Saccharomyces cerevisiae S288C: one gene and its partner. The gene in region 2 interacts genetically with the main gene of each other region. Each region holds a gene or a part of one and is shown on either strand. Other genes may lie near its edges.

Region 1 (3,433 bases), on a different chromosome or scaffold from region 2:
GAGGCTTCATATTCATTGGAATTTTAAATAACAATAAAGCAACAACAATAATAAATGCTATCAGCTGCAGATAATTTAGTGCGCATCATAAATGCTGTTTTTCTTATTATATCCATAGGTCTAATCAGCGGCCTGATAGGTACACAGACAAAGCATAGTTCTCGAGTGAACTTTTGTATGTTTGCCGCCGTTTATGGTCTGGTTACGGATTCATTATATGGGTTTTTGGCTAATTTCTGGACATCATTAACATACCCAGCAATTTTGCTTGTTTTGGATTTTTTAAATTTCATATTTACGTTTGTAGCAGCCACCGCTTTGGCTGTAGGTATAAGATGCCATTCGTGTAAAAACAAAACATATCTGGAACAGAATAAGATCATACAAGGCTCAAGCTCCAGATGTCATCAATCTCAGGCTGCTGTTGCGTTTTTTTACTTTTCCTGTTTTCTATTCCTCATCAAAGTGACTGTGGCCACGATGGGTATGATGCAAAATGGTGGATTTGGCTCTAATACCGGATTCAGCAGAAGGAGGGCAAGAAGACAAATGGGCATACCTACAATTTCCCAGGTTTAAGCCTACTGGACTGAAAAAAAGGCAATTCGCGTACAATTTTCGTTGATCGTTCTTTATATAACCTTTGCATTAAATAAATTTAACAAAAAAAGTTCTTTCTAAAATAATATTATGGTGATACATGAATGTGCTTTAGTTTTTTCGTAGGCTCATCCATGTATATATATAAATGATAAAAAACTAAGTTACGATATTGATAGCATACGTATTCGTGTTGGTAACTAAATGGAAAGATGGAATATGTTATTGGCGTTGTTATCCCCCATATATACAGGTTTCTAATATGATTAAAAAAAAATTTTCTCCCCTAGTTTATTGTGTTCATAGCTTTTCCAGACTTAACGGCCAATGTTCAAAAGCAAGGAATTTGGTGATCCCGAAGACTCGCTGTTACCACCACCAGAATGTTGACTTGGTAAATAGACAACGTTAGATGAGTTTGCTAATGTTTGAGCGATGTCCTTAGAAGCTTCTAATCTTCTAATCAATAACAGACCATCACCAACTTTAGCTAAGGCTTTTGAAATGAATTCAGCACTTTCTGCTTCACCTTCAGCTCTGATAACAGAAGCTTGTCTCTCTTGCTCTGCCTTTTCGACAAGGAATTTGGCTCTTTCGGCATCTTGCTGTGCAATCTGCTTCTGCTCAACTGCTTTCGTGAATTCGGGACCAAACGTCATATGAGTGATAGAGACATCTTCCAACTTAATACCGAATTCGTTGGCCCTCGTAGAAAGCTCTTTTCTGATTTTTTGAGAAATAATTTCTCTCTGAGTAATTAACTCAGCAGCATCAAATTGAGCTACTATAGACTTTAAAACCTCATTGCCGATAGATGGTAACACTCTTTCGTCGTAATCGAGACCCAAATTTTGGTATATTGCGGGTAGCTGTAAGACCTCTGGTCTATGTAAGACTCTCAAGGTCAATGACACCATTTGCAAATCCTTCGTACCAGTATTGGTAGCAATGCTCTTTGGTTTCGTCCTCACATCGTATATGATCGCCTTCTGTAGCCAAGGCACCAAGAAATGAGTGCCTTCACCCACAACCTGTTGCTTTACACCATTGATTCTGTCGAAAATAACACCACGAGAACCACCCTTCACATCATACATGGAGTACTGAATCCCGCTAGCAATTATACCAATGGGCAACGCCACCTTGGTGATGACATCGATAAGTTTGGCAGAATTAGACATTCTTTTCTAAAGTAAATTATTGATTTTGAATGTAAGTTTCGTACCGTTGATGGTTGGTTTACCGATTTATTTTTTTTCCTCTTCTTTCTGCTTAATATTATATACCTCAACCGTTGCATCCATGAGATCGTCAAACTCCCTTTCCCTGAAATTTATTGATGCGATACATTCGCGTTACCCGTATCATCATGAAGACGAGTTTATTCTCATCAGTGTTGATCTCTCATACTTGAATAACTCATTTGCAATGGTCTAAGACTCCAACTATGTAGTCATAGTCATTCACTGAAGTTTCTCTTTTCGAAATCCTGAACGGAAGCGGAATATATGTGGTATATATCGCATATTACTGCTTCACAGCATGCAGCGCAGACTGGCCGGGTTATGCTGCCACTTACTGGAGACAACATAAAATATACATAATCATCGCCTTTATACATAATATGCCAAACTTCTGGATTCTTGAGAATCGTAGGAGCTATACGTCTGATACATGTATGTCGAGGATCGTGAAGGAGTACAAAGTCATACTGAAAACATTGGCCAGTGATGACCCCATAGCGAACCCCTACCGGGGGATAATCGAGTCACTTAACCCGATTGACGAAACCGACTTGAGCAAGTGGGAAGCTATAATTTCTGGGCCGTCAGACACACCTTATGAAAATCATCAGTTTCGAATACTAATAGAAGTCCCTAGTTCCTACCCCATGAATCCACCAAAGATAAGTTTTATGCAGAACAATATTTTGCACTGCAATGTTAAATCAGCCACAGGAGAAATATGTCTGAACATCCTTAAACCAGAGGAGTGGACTCCTGTATGGGATTTGTTACACTGTGTTCATGCTGTTTGGAGACTCCTAAGGGAACCCGTTTGTGATTCTCCACTTGACGTAGACATTGGTAATATCATCCGCTGTGGCGATATGAGTGCCTATCAGGGGATTGTAAAGTACTTCCTAGCAGAAAGAGAGCGGATCAACAACCATTGATACCACGTAGGATGGATGTGTTCGAATGGCAAACAATGGGCCCTCACTTTTATCTGATGCAATTTCTACCTTACCCGGGCAGCGCCAATTTATGAATACAAATACTTTAACAAATTGCACTATTGATGTATTGACACATTTGTATATACATATACATATATTAATAAGGAGCACGAATTTTTGACAAGTAGTGCACGCAATATCTACATTAGTTAGCTTTTCCATTGACGCTGAATTTTATTTTGGCAGCCCAGTAGATCGTTGAGGAGCTTTTTTCAAACACTTTTTCTCTCTTAACTCCACATACTTACGTAAGAAAGTGATGACGAAAAAGAAAGCAGCTACTAATTATGCTGAAAGGCAAAATTTAGCCAGTGAAGATTCTTCAGGTGATTCGGTTCATTTTAAGGACTTTATTCCCTTACAAGAGTTACTGAAAGATAAAAATTATGTTCCATCGGTGGAAAATTTGGAGAAGATCTTATATAATGAAACCATGTTTAATGATCAGAAAATATGCTCTAACCTATTGCTTGAGGCTCTCATAATTACGTTGTTCACAACAATTTCAGGGAAGTCAGCTTTACGATTAATTCAGACTTCTTCTTTGAAGGAAAGAAAATCCTGGGCCCAGTCCTTTGAAAATAACAGTTCTAG
Region 2 (3,579 bases):
AGTTTTATTCAGACGCACTCATTATCTTTGCTACATAACATTTCTCTCTGATTTGACTGCGCATCTTACCCCTCCCCCATGCATGTGGAGTCATAGGAGTAATTTTAAAGGTAGAATTTCATATTAAATATCGCTGCTTGATTATTTTGTAGCAAATCAAAAGAGTGTTTCAAGTAAGTAAAAACATTTGAGCCTCCCCATTTGTTGAAAGGAGAGAAATTAAACTTGGTTGGGGTTAATTATTTGATGGGTATATTAATTTGCAACCGCAAGGTATCGATAATAAATATTCTACAAAACCTTTATCAATAGTGGTGAAGTCTTTAGTGCGATCTACCTGGGGTTAATGAACGAGAAGTTCTTGAGATATCTTTCCTGTTTACCTCCGTGCATCCTGTAAGGAATTGGGTTTATCATTTATCATTTATTTTAGTACAAACTTTTTTTTTTGGCCCGGGCGCACTTTTTCAAGCGGTGGGAACTCATCAAAATGAAAAACTAGATACTTTTAGACTTATTAAATGGTTTAAATATTTTGAGATGTTCGTTATATCAGAAACTTCCTTACTTCTATCTTTTATTCCAATACAAAGAAGTCACAAGATTACTTGGTAAGAAAGAAGCAGTTAATTTTTAATTTTGCCGACAAGCCAAGATGCAAATTTTCGTCAAGACTTTAACCGGTAAGACTATTACCCTGGAAGTTGAATCTTCTGACACTATTGACAATGTCAAGTCCAAGATCCAAGACAAGGAAGGTATTCCACCTGACCAACAAAGATTGATCTTTGCTGGTAAGCAATTGGAAGATGGTAGAACTTTGTCCGACTACAACATCCAAAAGGAATCTACTCTACACTTGGTCTTGAGATTGAGAGGTGGTGGTAAGAAGAGAAAGAAGAAGGTCTACACCACCCCAAAGAAGATCAAGCACAAGCACAAGAAGGTCAAGTTGGCTGTCTTGTCCTACTACAAGGTCGATGCTGAAGGTAAGGTTACCAAATTGAGAAGAGAATGTAGCAACCCAACTTGTGGTGCTGGTGTTTTCTTGGCTAACCACAAGGACAGATTGTACTGTGGTAAGTGTCATTCCGTCTACAAGGTTAACGCTTAAGTAAAGTATTTTTAAAACTTATATATTTTAATTGATCGTTAAATTTTGAAAAAGGCTTTTAATATTGTCATTATTTACTTTTCTATTTACAACAAAAGAACAAATGAATAGATAGACAGTAGAGGAATATAAGTAGTATGCAGTGCCATGCGGGATCAAGGAATTTGTATCTCTAATTTTCGTGGTTGTATGCGTCTCTAAACAAGTCAATATTTTGCTGTAAGATGGTTCTGCCGCTCCTTTCAGTTCCTTTAAGAAGCGTACCTGCAGATATTTTAACATCCTCCATGGTTTCATTGACTTTACTGACAAGTTGATTGCTCAAGTCATCAACATGTTTTTCCCAATTTTCACTAAATACTTGCAAAACAGCATCGAATCCCATTTTACCCTTTTTAGCGTTCTCGCAAAACCTTTGAACTGACCAATCTTCCATCTTATTACACAGCTTTCTAATGGATCCATATGCTGTAATTTGGGCTTCCTGCTGGAAAAGTGTTTTATTAGCCGAGTCATCGGGATGCGGGCTATATGTTACAGTTTCGTAGACTTTTAATAGATTGCACATCGTTAAATTACAGCTTCTCATGGTCAAGCTCTTTTTATTTAAGTCTACCACAGAAACTTCTCTGACATGACTCATATTGGTCCCTCCTAGCATCATCATGATCCATTTGGGAACACCTTGTTTTACAGTAATCAACCGTTCAGTAACTAAGACCTTACCTTGATCCTTCAATTCTCTTCTTAAAACGTCCACTGCGATGACATGTGTAGATATTTCATTTGGGTATTTTTTCCAGTTAGCGGCGGTTACCTGGTCCCATGGATAGTTGAAATCGTAACTGTTTTGAAACAATTTCATTATCGTCTTTTAATTATTCTCGATTATTTTATCTTAGTCTGAAATCTATTCTTTCGTCCTATTGATGCTTAAATTCAAAAATATGTACATCACTTCGCATGATAATTTTATCGCCTATATATTCTTTACATTTTTCACATTCATTCCTTTTTACCGCTCTGACCAATCAACGTTGTGCCGATGCTCGCAAAAGATATTTTTGTCCGGGCAACGGCTTTTGCGACAGACGGTAATAATAGTAGGGCCCCTTGCCCCCTTCTCATCTTATTCTTCTCCTTTCTTCTTCATTCCATTGTTTTTTAGTGGTCCTAACTCAATACCCTTTCAAGATTATCGTTGCTCTCCATGGTGTCCATCACGGTCACATGGTGCAGTACTTCCTTCCTACTGCTCTCTGCGATGGAGCCATCGCACATAATCATCTCATTCAAGATATCGTAGACCTTACTGAAGTTAAATATAATGTCTAGCTCACAAACATTGCCGAAATATGTGTCCATTGTTTCGACAAACCGATGGATAATTTCCAAGGTCAGCAGTTCATTGTCAACATCGGGCGTCATCCCAACAATAAAATATAGACTAGCATATCGCTTGTATACTACTTTGTGGTCATTATACTCGATGATGTTACACATTTTGGGTTTTCTTGCTAATATCGTAGGTGTCAAGTCTTTCACAATTTTTGCCTTTTCACCAGCGGACATTGCCGTGTACCATTTCTTTAATCTGATTTTTCCTTGCCTAGAAACCAGCAACAAATATTTTAATTGCGTCATCTTGTGTACCTGTGTATCCGTATATAATCTCCTCCAGGATCGCTCTTGTTCTTGGCTGAAATTGTTGTTATAACTTCTTGTTCATTCATTGCCATTTTTACACATATCGTTAGGGCCCGATTCGTTTGGGATCGAATTGTTACCCGACTGAAAGGATCTATTCAATATACATTATAAAAAAGAAACTACACATGAGCGTGTGCATTACCTTTACTCGTCGCTGTCGTCTTCTGTGGGTGGGACCCATGCCGCAGGTTTGAAGTACTCTTGGTCATTTGCCACATCTTTCCCAAACTTTTCTTTGTCGTCGGCAAACTCTAGCAGGTATTCCAGCTCCAATTCATGACATTGTCTGCCGAGGATGACAAGCGAATGAAGTGGCTCTCCTGAATCGTAATTGGCTAACTCACTTATGGTACCAGACTTAAAGCTTTGGGAGCTCGAGCCTAATCTACTAATTGCGACTGCTGGAGTATCAGGAGTGTATGCCTTTGTACCTCTTTTCTCTTCAATTTCTAATAATTGTTCACAACATTGAGCGATAGACATGTATCTTGGTGGTTCGTAGATTAGTCTGCCACGGGCCATATTTTCAATGCTTTGTTCCTTAACTTTGATGTCCAATAACACTAAAGTATGAAGGCCAATTTTTCTATTTTCCCAGATCTTGTCGTACCATGAGTCTGGTCTCCAATTATCGGTAAAGAAAACCATGGAAACGGTTTGACCGAAATTGTATAGTTGTAGGCCACATGCCCCAACTGCATTCATAACGGACGCATTATGAATAATTTCGACGGGAATTGCCTCACGTTTAGCTC

The links.
Region 1: mutations in UPS2 (region 2) and PHB1 together harm fitness more than expected from each alone (negative genetic interaction), as found in Saccharomyces cerevisiae (5 studies listed by BioGRID, with this or other methods).

The regions. Positions count from the first base shown.
Region 1 is NC_001139.9:754,672-758,104, forward strand, and holds PHB1 (prohibitin subunit PHB1), read right to left. Parts: upstream 1,782-3,433; coding exon 918-1,781; downstream 1-917. Other genes in the region: FHN1 (Fhn1p), read left to right, coding at 55-579; PEX4 (E2 ubiquitin-protein ligase peroxin 4), read left to right, coding at 2,225-2,776; CCR4-NOT core subunit CAF130, read left to right, coding at 3,099-3,433. UniProt on the Saccharomyces cerevisiae protein: Prohibitin probably acts as a holdase/unfoldase for the stabilization of newly synthesized mitochondrial proteins. Involved in mitophagy; may act as an adapter for ATG8 that supports mitophagosome assembly.
Region 2 is NC_001144.5:498,292-501,870, forward strand, and holds UPS2 (Ups2p), read right to left. Parts: upstream 1,980-3,579; coding exon 1,287-1,979; downstream 1-1,286. Other genes in the region: ubiquitin-40S ribosomal protein eS31 RPS31 fusion protein, read left to right, coding at 656-1,114; APS1 (Aps1p), read right to left, coding at 2,288-2,758; DPH5 (diphthine synthase), read right to left, coding at 2,969-3,579. UniProt on the Saccharomyces cerevisiae protein: Required for mitochondrial cristae morphogenesis and MGM1-processing. Controls the stability of mitochondrial phosphatidylethanolamine (PE). With UPS1, controls the level of cardiolipin in mitochondria.